Drosophila melanogaster: one gene and its partner. The gene in region 1 interacts genetically with each later gene. Each region holds a gene or a part of one and is shown on either strand. Other genes may lie near its edges.

Region 1 (7,250 bases):
TTGTATTAAAAATGAAAATGAATATTGTGCACTTACTTTCATGATTTCGTTAAAATCTAGTCTAGCTTTATTTCTATATTTATTGCTTCGGTAACTGTAATTATAACACGAAACCAGTTTATCAACTGTCTAAAGTCTTGCCCAATAATTGATTTGCTAATACATATGTGCTTGTTTTAATTATAAAATCCAAATCCTCAATCCACTAGCTACCCACTCAACGCCTGGCAAAATAAGAGTTTGCATCACTTGAAATACCCATTTTAAAATGTAATCAGGTGCGGTTTCTTCTCCAAGTTTGTAGGTGTTTCATTTATCACATCTGTCAATGACTAATTGCTATTTATCTCTCTTAGCTAATTTCCTGGGCACATACTTATATAATTAGCCCCCGCGAAAAGACATTCCGTGTTTCTGTACAAAGTTAACACCCAAAATTTAACAAAGTTAACTCCAAGATTATGGTACGGACTACGTAGGTTAAGGGCATGAGTCATGACAGTTGGCTGCTTTGCATTTAAATTGAGTAATTTGTGAAGGCTTACCTTACCACCATCCCAATGTTTGCTGTTAAATCTCATTAACTTCCCGTGGCATTTAGACCGGCTAAAAAAGGCCAGTCCCTTTTAAACAATGCATTCCCACTTGCCATGGCAACAACCTATGCTCAATCGATCTAGACCTGTGTGTGGCCTGCTAGACCTCGTTTTATCGAGTCATCAATGAATCTAGATGGAATAGTATCAAAACAATGAAAAACCAATTGAAGTTTTTACGACGGAGTGCTTGCCTCGTGAAGAGTTTGGTGTGCAACTGACATTAAGCCCAAACAACCTTCTAGATAATTATAAATCTGTTACAGCCAAGAACTCGGCAATGGAATTGCCCGATTAATCTATTTTGCAAAAGGTACGTGTGTGAAAGTTAATCATTCCATCTCAGGTGATCTGGTTAAACGAATTTCTCCAGTTATCCTAATAACCTAAATGTGAATGTGTTCATTCAACAGAATTACAAAAAAAAAAAAAAAAATCTAATCTGATTTATTATTTTTTATTTTATATTAAGTATCAATTGTATCGAAATAGAAGTATAATTCAATTTATCTTGAGTATCTTGGGTGTAGTACGAGTAGAATATATTAAGATTTAATTAAGTTCATTCACTTGTTCTAGCACGAATAATAATTTCTCGTATAATTGGTTTCCGAGATTGAGCTTGAGGGCCGGAAATTTTAATATTTTCCCTTTAATATGCCGCGTAATTAACTAAGTAATTCAACAGGAAACCGCTTATGTATATCTTCAAATATTCTTCCATCCATTAATAGTCAAACAATTTCTCTTGTTCGCTCCATTTAACCGAATCGGAAAATAATTATGGAGAAATGCCGTACAAATCGAAACGAAATGGGTAAAAAAAAGGGCGGACCAGAAGTCACGCACCGGCACGGCGTTAATTGGTGGCTCAGAGAACGAGATTTGATTACGGCGCAGAGAGCACAGCGCGGCTAGGCGGGATTAAAGTGTCTGGCCGGAGATCGGGATGAGATGCCCCAGCTATGCGAGCGTCGTCGCGTAGATGCCGTCTATCTATAATTTTCATGGCTTTCGGCTTGGACTCACCAGTTTCGGTCGCATTGGATTTGTTGGCCGCCTCAGTTGTTGTCGTCGTGGAAGTCGTTGAACCATCCGCCGCCTCGGTGGTTATGCTGCTGATGCTGCTGCTTTGTTCTGCGGCAGTTGTGGCTGGAGTGGTGGTGGCTGCAACGGCGTCTGGGGCATCTGTTGTGGTATCCAAAGGTGGCATCGTTGTGGCCGCTGCGTCTTCGCCTGCGGGCGCAGACGCCGCACGCTCAATTTGAATGCCAAGCAAAAGTAATCCGCAGAGAGTGGCCAGGCACATTCTACTCCACTTGATCGTGGATTGGCCGCCGGAGGCTTTTCTTCTTCTACACGTTTGCATTTTGGTTTATGTTTGTGCTCCGTCTTTTTGGCTTTTCCTCTTTGATTTTTCTCACACGTTTGCACTTGTTATTGTTAATTTATAGTAATCTGCTATAAATATGGAATTAAATAAATTACATGCACTTTTAAACGTTTCGAAGGGTCTCGATAACTCATTACCTACTTTTGTTCACTAGTTATTATTTAGTTTTCTCTTTTGGGGTGCGGGATTTTCTTATGCGGTTATTTTAGTTCACACGACATCTGTGGCAGCGGTTTCTGTTATTTGTCATTGACTCGCTTTGGTAACCCCAAATGCTGTCATTTCCGTTGAAAGTCGGTTGAATAACGATCTCTCAAGTGTCAACTCAAGTCTATATTTTGCCAGCCGATTTGTTGAGTGATTTGTTAGGTCGCCCTACGCGGAAATTGGAAAGTTGTTAGCTTGAAAATAGGGGTGGCTTACTCTTGACTCAATCAATCAAAAATAATATGTGAGTTAATTAAGCTACGAAATAAAAGTATTAGCTAATTTTTCCAAATACGCCGCATATCTAAAGCATTTCCTATGTCACACATTTATGTAATGACCAATTTAAGTGTGAAAGCGTAAACATCTTCGATGCCACTCACGCAAGTTCGTTTCCCAAGTCTTTTGTTTTATAAAGTTTCGCATAGTTTTGAATGTGTCCGAATTTTTGAAAACCTATGTAGATTTACGATACGTAAACCCTATTTAGCATATTTCATTTAGATTTACAACTTCTGTACCTAAGCCTAGAGCAGCTCATAAATATCTTTCATTTTTTTAAGACTACGCCGCCAGCACAATGTTTACTTCTCACCATTCAAATCAGAAACTAGGCAAATAAACCAGCTTGCCAAAAACAAAGGCTGCCAATTGGGCTCTAAAAAAAGATATACTGTTTATATGCAAGGCAGTCGATGCTCATGCAACTCGCTACAATGCAACGCCAGCAACAAAAAACCCTAGACCCAAATTGCGATAGCAAAATATTTCAACCGGTTCCAACGGCAGCAGCAGAAACTGCAACTGAAAACGGCTGCAGACCGCAGAATTTGCTGCACGCCTTTTTGGCCATATTGGTACGAAGGCAATTAGACAGCGTGCGGTTCTATTTATTCCATATCTGCTGGCAATTGTTAATATTTCTTTTGGCTAACATCTAGTGATGTCATTGTAAAAGTTGATAGCTATTTGCACTGACATTTCGCATTTCACATTTCACTCTCACTCCTTTTTTGTAGAAATGGCAAATGGCAGAAAGCAAACAGCGAACAAGCGATTCGGAGCTGGAGGGAGAAAACGTGTTTTCGGTATTTCCAATGGAATGTTTTCGGTCGTGGTTCTCTTTTCTTCTGCTGGGCCGTTTATTTCACTACCAGATCTTGTGTTTGTTTAATAAGAAAGCAAAGATTTGCATAAATCACAACCGCACACACACGCAGGCACGCTTAAAACGAAGATTAGCACCAACCCGGCGAGAAATAGGTATAGGTATTGGTATATATCTCCTCTTATCTGGCCACGTTTGTGGGCAGCGCGGTTTATATGTATATATAAATCGTTCGCAAAGTAATGCGATCGCACTCGGCCAACCGCTCCGTCTCAAGCACGACCACCAACTGATCTCTCCGGCGGCACGGATCTTGGCTGGTAGCGTTGCCAACTCACCACGGTCTGCATCTGCAGGCTGCCAACATGTAACTGGTTTGCTGTTGCTCTCCGGCCAACTCTTAGTTGGCTCTCATCTGGCTGGCTCCTTCTCGCGCGTCAGCTGAGCGCAACAGGTGAGACCGTGCACGTAATACATAATACCCATTACCATTACCCCGTGGTTGAATGCTCGCTCTCACCCACACTCAGGTGTGTCTAGGCTGTTGCTGTCTGCCAGTGTGGGTGTAGTGAGCGAAAGGCCCTCTCTAGAAGTCGTTGGATTCGAAACAAGACGACCATGATGCATACACAAGACTCAAAGACGGAGTTTTTTTTTTTCAATTTGGCAAGGCAACTGCAATAGTCGATTCCTTGACAAGTGAACTCAGCGCGATCTATTTGGACTGTCCAATTGGATGGCGAAAAACTCAATCCCATTGAAAAACCCAGGCCAAGCCGAGTTGGCATTCATCGTTCCGATTACGCCTACCTTCGGTTTCTTTCTTCCTCGACTTCTTTGTCTGACTTTTTGAAAGAGCACAAGCGTAGATTCGTATTAGCGGCCCTGCATCTCCATACTCGTAGATCCAGAGTGTTCATGAGTCAGGGATGCTTGGGGTCACAGCGGCACTAAGAGATTAATCCCATTTACAGCTTTCGTAAATATGATTAAATAAAGAAATTCTATGCTACTTCGAAAGAGTGAAATGATAAGTGATAAGGTGATACCTTATCACCCCTATTGTAGGGTACATTGAACACTCGTGAGTGATAAAAATGATTAGTATAAGGATAGCATTAGTACTATATTATATTATATTATGTGAAATAATTACTATAATCCCTAAATGTTTGGTGTTCTAATAATATTTAACCAATTACTTTGGGATAAGTAAAACTAGAGATAAGATAAGTACGCCGACGCTATTAAAACCCAAAAACTAGTCGAGGTCAAATCGGTTTCTATAGAGGAAAGTACGATATATGTATATATAACTACATAAAAGTTATTTTTACTGCGATACCCGAAATATTAAATAAAACTAGAAAGATTCATGAAATTCCAATATCTATTAGCAAACCCAAATAACCGCCATTCCGAAGGCCTTATCTGCGGAGCTGCTCCCAAATTCATAAATCCACCGATCACTGACTGATCCACCGCCATCAAATGCCATCGATGCAAATATCAATTCTCCACTTGGGATGCGAGACGCGCCCAGAAACCGTCATCACACATCAATGGCAGCAAGTTGGCCAACCGTCATTAAAAAGGAAATGTGTGTCTGAAGAACTCAAATCTAATCAAATCAAATCATATCCAACTCAACTCTCAACTCTCTGCTCGCAGACGTCAAAAAGTATCAAATGTGCACACAGTTTCTATGTTATTGGGGCTGCTCTTGTGGTTGCATACATTAACGTGCAAACATCAGAGAATAATGCAGAAATGCGCTTTTTTTGGTGTTGCACAAACACGGCCAAAGTTGCATTGTCTCCCTTTGTTTATACATACATATATTTTGTCTGGGGCTTATCGCACCGTCATTGAGAAGCCGCTAATGCTAATGCTAATAAAATACAGGCGAACATAAAAAGATAATAATAATAACAATGCAACTTCAGTTTATGCTCACAGTTTTTGAATGGAGCATTTCTCAATGTATGCAAAGGAAAAGAACGCTGCAAGAAAACGGAAACTACAAGTAGTGTCTTTTGCATAAAATGCACAACATATGAATACTAAAGCATTAGGAATTAAGAATTAAAAATTAAGAAATATAAATTAAGCAAAAGAAAAGAAGACTAGAAGTGTTGTAAAAAATTCCAAAGTTGCATACTACCAATGGGTCTTCCACTGATAGCCAATTATCTAGCTACCAAATGGCCACAGACCTAAGCACCCACTTCCTTGCATCGTTGGAATGGGACCTGGTAAACCTGATACTTGTGTGATTTGATTTACCCAATCGCATGCAATGCGATAGCGCAGACGAAGAGCAGCGAAAGTTGTTCAATAGTAATTGGCTTAATTATGAGTACAATCTACATAGAAACTCGAAATTAAATTCGAAATTAGCGAAAAGCCATATCCACATTATATAAAAACGCGAAAAATGAATTTTTCGGATGCCATTGCGAGGGGCCAAGTTTTCACAGTTCGTTTTTTCCACCTGCTGTTCGTTGGTAATGTCTTCATTCGTGGTGTTACACATCAAAAAAAGAAAAAATCTCATGATAAAAGTCGAAGAGAGTTGGCCAAACTAAGGCCATGAAACCAGACGAAATCTCTTTCCAGTTAATCTCGAATTTGGGACTGTTTCAAAAGGCAGCGACACCGAGTAAAATGAAGTCAAGTCAGTGCGCATTAAATTGGCTCATTTTTCCTTATTTGTTCACAAAAGGCATTTAACCAATTTGCTCTGCACCGAAACTTGCTTGATATTACGTCAATATATTTGGCTCAATTTTCGGGTTTCTTTGTTTGATCTACATTTTAGTGTTTATTATTGGATGATTAAAGTCAAATGAATTAAGGCAGGCAGAGTGATAAGTAATATACCCACATTTATTTATTTGAAAGCTGTGCGGATTGGTATCATTGCACAGTGGACCAATGCATTGGTCTGTCGTTAATTGCCGTGATGGGATTTATTGTACCGATAGTTCGCATTTTCTCATCCATTCACAAGTGCTCTTATTAAATAAGGGATTACAACAATTAAGCCGAAATCTACAAAGTAAATTTTGGGTGTAGAAAACACTACAGCAGCCTAATTTAGTCAATGCAAGTACAATTAATGTGGCCAACGAACGTGGCTTAAAACCAGCAAAAAGTGTAGCAGCTGCCATTGTGTTGCTATTGCTGTTGCCGTTTATTGTCAAAGCGGTTAAGCGACATGCCACCAAAAATGATTGACAATCACTTTACAAACTGTTTTCATTGCAGCCGGGAACAGCAAGAAAAACAACGCGCACACTGAGAGAAACGAGGCCCACACTCGGACTGACAGCACTTCCCCATTTTGGCTGCCAGCAACCAGTTGCATATGAAAGTAAAAGTAAAGCATGCACATGCAGCGTATAATAAATATATATACACAAACTGCATTTAAATGCATTGCAGACGGGCTGAGAGACCGCTGGAGAGATACATATGCGACTATATGTTTAATATGTTTCATACAAACAAAACAAACAAAAGGCGAGCCGGTGCGAAGACAGCCACACCGGTTGTGAATGCAGACACCGCTCAGACAACTATACCCATATTATGTGCATATAAGTTCATATATACGATACATATATATATATACATATATGGCCGCTAATGAAATGCGTTCAAAGAGGCCGAAACGATACCCAGATGCTGATAAACAAGCTGAAAACCAAGCCAGGCTCAAGCTCAAAAATAACCGAAACTTCATTTCGAAGACATGACATCATATATGTATACGTATGCTGCATAATCTTCTTGCTCGGGATTTAAATTGTTTAAACAGAATTTCTTTGAATATTCGACTCGTGACTCAAAAGGTTTTGCTCAGGGAATTTATTTCTTTGGCCTTCAGAGATTTTATGGACACGTTCGTGTTTCGTTTAGAAAACATAAATTGAAATTAGGG
Region 2 (7,042 bases), on another chromosome or scaffold:
GGTCAATGTGACGGCGGCCAGAAAGTTTCAGCAGGAGCATCAGAAGCAGCGTGAACGTGACCGTGAGCAGCTTAAGGAGCGCACCAACTCCACGCAGGGCGTGATCCGGCAACTGAGCAGCTGCCTAAGCGAGGCGGAAACGGCATCCTGTATCCTATCACCAGCCAGTAGCTTGAGTGCCAGCGAAGCACCGGACACGCCCGATCCGCACAGCAACACATCACCGCCACCGTCGCTCCACACACGTCCCAGTGTCCTGCATCGAACCCTGACCAGCACGCTGCGATGACGGGCTGATGGAACCTGGTTTGCCTTCTAATTGGGTGTGTGGAAATGGACGTCATTGGTAGCTCACGTGCCCACAAACGAATTAGTATCGGTAATATAATCCTGGCCAATCGCAAAATGAAAACCCAAAATGTATCAGAAAAAAACGAGCATTATTCAAATAGTTTAAAAATTCAGCCAAAAAACTTAAAAACGAAAAAAAAGAGCGTGGGTTGAAAAACCTTTTGTTTTCATATTCACATTTCCAAGCTTTGAGCAATCAAACAATTTTAATTTTCAGTATACACATATGTATAATGAGTTGGCTTTACAAAAGCTATTAACAAATCAAGCAATTGTGTAATTTAATATGAGACTTTCCGTGATTTTCGCTTTCTACGTACTTTTCGACTTCAATTGATCTATAGGGTTTCCGTATTAAAAACGAAATTAACGTGGTTTCATTTGATGAAAATGCAATATGAGCTCGCATTTATTTTGATATTATGACAGTAATAATGATCTGATCACGATAATCGTTTTCTCAAAACATAAGCGATACATTTTGGGTACATTTGGCCATTACTGTTTCTGTGTGTGATTTCGGTATAAAATAGTAGTTTGATTACATGTTATATTGATGAATGGCGATCGGTGGGTGCTGCTAAATGCGTTCCATTATCAATAATTTTCGTTATGTAATTACGTTTAATTTGTAAATATGTATGAGTGCGAGCGTGAGTGAGTTTGTGATCGTGTCAGCATGGGTGTGAATGAACATTAGATCAGTGCTCGGATTTGGTTTTAGTTGAAATTTAAACCCCATTTCCCCGATTTCCCAGTTATCACCTTCCGCCCCAAAACACCAGTGTAAAAAGAGTACAAAAAAAAAAAGAAAAGAAAATAGAAAAACAAACAAACAATTATATATTTATTTCGCCCTAAGTCTAGAACGTGCTAAACACAACTCATTAATAGTTAAACAAACGGATGTTGCAATCGATGGAAATTAAACGCTCGCTTTTAGTTTTGCCGTCTCGCTCGAAGAAAGAAAGAGGACTACATATGTACAGTCAAACTAATCCAAGTCAAACTCTTCAGTCTCAGAATTGGAGACTTTATTAAAGGTTTTTTATTTTATGAAGAATAGCATATTATTTTTATATATATATATTTATGTATATATATTTATATCACAAATCTCCTTCGATATCCCTTTGTAATCTATAAAAACACTTCCAGGCGCAGCTTTATTTTTCAACAGTTTTAATTTTGGGAACTTTACAAAGCATATAAGCATACCCCAAATCCATATCCTTATAAACTTTGTAGTTATTACAAATGTGTTCAAAATTAAAAAAAAAGTTTGTCATCCAAAATCCAATCCGCTAAATACAATATAATCATTTTAATTGATCTATGTTACACTTCTATAATGTCTACTGGACAAAATATGATTAAGTTGAAATTTCAAAGTGTTTTTGAAGTTCGTACTAGCGAAGTTTGGCTGTAGTTCAATACTCACAGAAAGGGAGCGAGACATATTCCCATCTCGCTCCGACCTGTTATCAAAGCCTTTGCCATTGTCCTTGGCGTTGCGTTCTTATCACCGGCGTATCGGAGGGAATATATGATTTTTTTTTCGGCCAAGTGGTTCTAGTGGTAAATATGAGGCGGTGGGTGGTTTCGGGGGGTTTGGGGGAACGGCGGTTGGTGATGGGCGCAGAGAAGGCGGGAGGCGGGGGGGAACACGTTTCGTTATTTTTTGTTTTATAGCGAAATTCCTCTAGCTATAAATGTATGCATACATATATGCTATTAACTTTTCGTTTAGCTCAATTTTTTGTTTGTATTTTTAATTATAACTCGGTTTGTCTAGTGTGTAATTAAATTAAAAGTCCAATGCTAATTCCCCAGCGAATCGTTCAGTGTTTGTTCAAACGAGTTGTGCTCTTTAAACACTTTTGGCTTATCCTTTCATTTAATTTTTGTTTGTTTTCCTTGCGTTGTTATATGTCCAAATAAAAATGAAAGTTTGAATTGTTTTTTTTTAGTAATTTAGTTTTAACTGTAATGTCAAATGTCAAGAGGTATACTCTGTATAAGAATAATAATGTGTAATGTAATTTTTAGAACTTGCTAATCTCTAGCAATTAAAACATAGCCTGTAATTAACAATAATTAATTATAATAACCAGTAACAGTTCATGCAAATGAAACCTTAATAAATAATAAATTATATAAAAGAAGATGGAAGTGTTTTCAATCAATGAAGTTACTTCCTATTTTCAGGAGTTGGAATGTTACACTTTTTTATAAGCTGATTTGAAATGCGCGCCACATTATATCTGCCTTGCGCGCACGCATTGCAGCCGAATAACGGCGAATTAACTCCCCTCAGAGGTGAGTTTGAACTATCGATTATAATCGATTGCATTCGGAAACAAAAAACACCTTGAGTTTGGTCAGATCGGTTTTGCGCGGGATAAATAATAAAATATTAAATGTTTTCTTTGTTAACATTTCGCTGTGCATGCTGTCTGGGTACACATATACAGCCTATCGCCTTGGCTCACTAAGCCCATGGCTCAGATGTCCATTTGGACTAACATTTTGTGTGAGTAATTGAATAATAAGAATTACGGAGCTCGGACTTGTAATGGCCGAAGTACTACTGCCGCAATGCTTGGTTCACGTTAAAAAGAATCAAGTGCAACAAATTTAATTGTATTTAACTATTTTATAACCGCGCAGCAAAGTAATGGTTAATTCTGCTTTTAAATAGTTGACAGTTACAAGCGAAACATAGAAGCCGCGCAGGTTCCTATCGATACCATCGCTGGGTCATCGATTATTTGTCCAGCTCTACAGGTGAAACGAGCGTTGGCGATTCCGATTCCGATTCCAATTCCGATTCCAAATTCGACTCCGGACTCGAATCCGATTTGAATCAGATTCCAATTCAGTGTGGTGAAGAGCGAACCGGAGTGCGGACGGTACGGACGCGAAATCTGTTAAGGCGGGCCGCAAAGCAAACGCTCGAAAAACGCAAAATTTGTCGATTGTCCGTTCCGCTTTTTTCTTGTGTCTGTGCTTTGCGTCGCGTGCCTGCGTGTACGTGTAAGTGTGCGTGCGCCTGTGTTTGTTTTTTGTTATTTTTTTTATAACCAACGACAACAACAGAATAGAAGTAAATAAAATACACAAATTAACGGTGTATATATTTAAATGTTTTGGTTTTTTTTAGTGGCGTGCCGAATGAGCAAAATTTGAGAAAAACGCAGTGGAAAACGTAAGAAATGCTGAAATAAAGCTTAAAGTAAAAGCAGAAATTGAGAGTTGTTTGTGTGTGTGTGTGTATGTGTGTGCAATAATAATAACAAAAAATGTTGGCCGAGGGGGGCAGACAGACACAGAGCGAGAGAGGTAGAAGCAACACCTACGCAGCTTTTTTATGTATTATTTCGTTTTTTGGCATGCCGCTGCTTTCTCTCTTTCACACGCAGCCTCATTTGAATATTTTGTTGTTGTGCGGCAAATTTCTCCACTTCCTGTTTCTCTGACGGCATTCAATTTTGGGGGATCATTTTGGCTTGTTTCATAAAATCTCTATTAATGCTGACAATAAGTTGCGAAAAATTTCCAGTCGCATTAAAAAAACTTGTCCCACATTTAACAATAAATAAGAGGTGAAGAAATACGTTTTTAAAAACTTGTTTTGTTTTTGTGTTTTATGTGCCGAGATCATAAAGCTCTCTCTCTCCCTCTCTCCCTCTCTCTCTCTCTTGCTCTTCTCTCTCGACCAGAAGGAAAAAGATCAATCAAATCAATCTGCTCTGCTCTTCTTCTGTCTTCCTCTCTTTGCAACAAAGTTGAAGGTCTTTTCTGCATGACAACGTTGCCAAGCGCAGAAAGCAACAACAAGACAGTGCAACAATAACAAAACATACACAGAACAAAATTAGAGTAGCTTAAAAGGGAACTCCTAAATTAAATTAGTCCTACAGCAGGATTACCAATTCATTACAAGTCTATTCAAAAGATACAAGGACAACATCTTTAATTTTCCAGAAGATATGATACTTGTCAATACAATTTGAATTTTGTGCCGTGTATCGTTTTGATTTCGCAAAACTGGTTTTCAGACGTTTAGTTTTATTTGTTCTTCATATTTATTTGGTTTTTTTGCTGGCTGCGATATTTTAAATATTTCAATGACGTCAGCGCAGGCTAAATTATTGATCAGCAGTATTTTTTTGCAACTGCACAAGACAGTGCAATTAATTAGCACTTGTCTGCGAATTAGATTTAAATGAATTTAATGCATTGCTTAATCACACAGTTCCAGGAATGAAAACTTAAGTAGAACGGGTATTTCAATATTATACTTTACTGCTAGATAAGTAAAATAATTGATATTGATTTATTAAGCAAAGTCTTAACAGTGGTTTTTAAATCTCAAATGTTCAATCAAATTTGCATTTGCCTAGTTCCACTGTGCAGAAATATAGAAACAAGTCGCAGAAAAATATGAAAAAATAGGAACTGAAGCTTTCGGCGCAAGCGCAAAGTGTTGGATAAGCAGAAGAGGAAGCAGAGCAGGTAGAGAGCAGGACAGCGGCACTATCTAGCTGTCTCCCTCTTGCGATCACTCTTTCAGTTATTTTTAATTCATACTCTCTTGCAGATCACAAAATAAAAAACAAACAAAAACAAAACAAGAATATGTTTTAATCAATTCAAATTAAACCAACAAATTGCAAGCAATTGGATTCAGGATAAAAATTTACAAAATTTCACCACACTAACGGGAAAACTGTGAAAACAATGCATTTAATCAAAGTAAAGACTAAACTCGCGCTAAAAATGCCCGAATTCGAAAGAAACTAGCGAAAAGCCCAATTCAAAAATCGCACAATAAATTGCAAAGTCCAAAGCAACAACAACATAGGAACAAATAAAACAAGAAGCAGGCAACAAAAGAGAGCCAGGCGGAGAGGAAAACAACAACGAAAACAGCAAAACGACGGCCCCAAAATGTTGTACCAGCTAAGTAAAGCCACTACTAGAATCCGGCTCAAAAGGCAAAAAGCCGTTCCACAACATCGCTGGCTCTGGAGTTTAGCATTTCTGGCAGCATTTACACTAAAGGTAAGCGAGAGGGCCAACAAAAACATGGCCAAAACACACAATAGCGGGTGGATTTATAGGCCCGTCGAATTACCCGTTTCGGAATCTTAGCTTGGGAGAAACGATTATTCAGGATAATAATAATAATTATTCAGGATACATCAATACAAGAGAAATATGCAAAATTAGATAGGAGTTCAAAAGATATGATAAACAACAATAACCTCGAAATGTGCACAAATAACTTTCTAAATTCGAGGGCTATCGAAACGACAAGGTTCTGCAAACATTGTCCGAAGTTATTTAATTATTTATTTGTGACGACCCCGCCCCCGCCTCGAATTAAACCGCCCACATGGAAATCATCGTCTTCGTCACTTTTGTCTGTGGTCTTTCCCATGTTAATTAAATTCAATTATTTCGCATCGTGTTTGCTTTTCGCCATTGTTTATGCGAATGTATTTGCCTCACTGGACACAGTACTAAAAACAAACAAACAAACAAAGCAACAAACAAACTCCAATCCGATCAAAGACCTTGAGGAAACAACAAACAAAAGCAAGAGTAACAAACAATAACCGAACAAGATTTTGCATTTTGCATCTCAAGTCGTGTGCTGTGCAGATATGAAGTAGAATGCATTTAACAGAAGATGATGACATATTTATACCCTGTACACTCAGAATAATTAAATATAACAAACTTAACAGATAGTTATATTTTCGTTTCAAGGAATTTGTCTAAATACTTTGCATGCCTGGCATTTTTAATTGATACTTCGAGCTGTGTTGCATAATAAGTAATTGCATTGCCGATTCCTCGATGTGTGCAACTCAGCTGAGTGATGCAATCGATAAGGCTGGCAATTTTCCTAATTAGGTTTTTCACTGTTGCACTTTTGCACGAATTCAATTTTCATAAACTTTATACTTTATGGGTAAATATCTGAATATAGGGGTTTTCATAGGGCATCGATGCGGTGCTACTAACTCACGTCGTATTGTTATGTACTATTTGCTTTTAACTGGTCACTGGTTACTAAGGGTAATTAATCATTACACATGTGGGCACGACTTGTCATGAATTCTGGATCCGCAATGAACCGGCTAGAATTCGATATCGGTTTCATTTTACATTGACAAACTTTCATTCGTTGGTTTTTTTTTATTTGTTTACTTGCTTAGCAAAATTATTGGCGCGTAACGATTACTATGTATATGTGTAAACATTTATTCTATTTCTAGTACAACTAACCAATTGTTTTTCCGGTATATCCATTTCAATTGGGTTTTTTAGGTCGTTTTGTTTATTTTTTTCACTGCACCGATAAATGGGCAGAAATATTTGCCATTTGGTCACATACAATCTCAACTTATTTCGTCGCTGGTGGCCATAAGTCACGTTTCAGTTTAATAGTGAACACGAGTACGTACATACATTCATTAATGCGAGTACACATCCATAAGATACTTTTCGCTTATATTCTTTTCCGTTTAAAATTGTACAGTGTTTAGCCGAATTCTGTTACCGATTAATGTACAATATACGTATGTATTAACTTTATAAAACATTTTAAAACAATTTATTGAAAGCCTTAAAGAGCAACTCAAAGAAAGATCAATAATCAGTGTAAACAAATAAGCCA

Evidence for each region.
Region 2: of sas (region 1) and Ptp10D, changing one enhances a phenotype caused by changing the other (phenotypic enhancement), as found in Drosophila melanogaster (one study listed by BioGRID).

The regions. Positions count from the first base shown.
Region 1 is NT_033777.3:7,159,236-7,166,485, reverse strand, and holds the start of sas (stranded at second), read right to left. Parts: upstream 3,679-7,250; 5' UTR 3,446-3,678; intron 2,365-3,445; 5' UTR 2,127-2,364; intron 2,058-2,126; 5' UTR 1,966-2,057; coding exon 1,626-1,965; intron 1-1,625.
Region 2 is NC_004354.4:11,618,799-11,625,840, forward strand, and holds the start of Ptp10D (protein tyrosine phosphatase 10D), read left to right. Parts: upstream 1-3,216; 5' UTR 3,217-3,387; exon of another isoform or gene 3,388-3,559; intron 3,560-4,954; exon of another isoform or gene 4,955-5,031; 5' UTR 5,032-5,304; coding exon 5,305-5,418; intron 5,419-7,042. Other genes in the region: Met (Methoprene-tolerant), read left to right, coding at 1-289.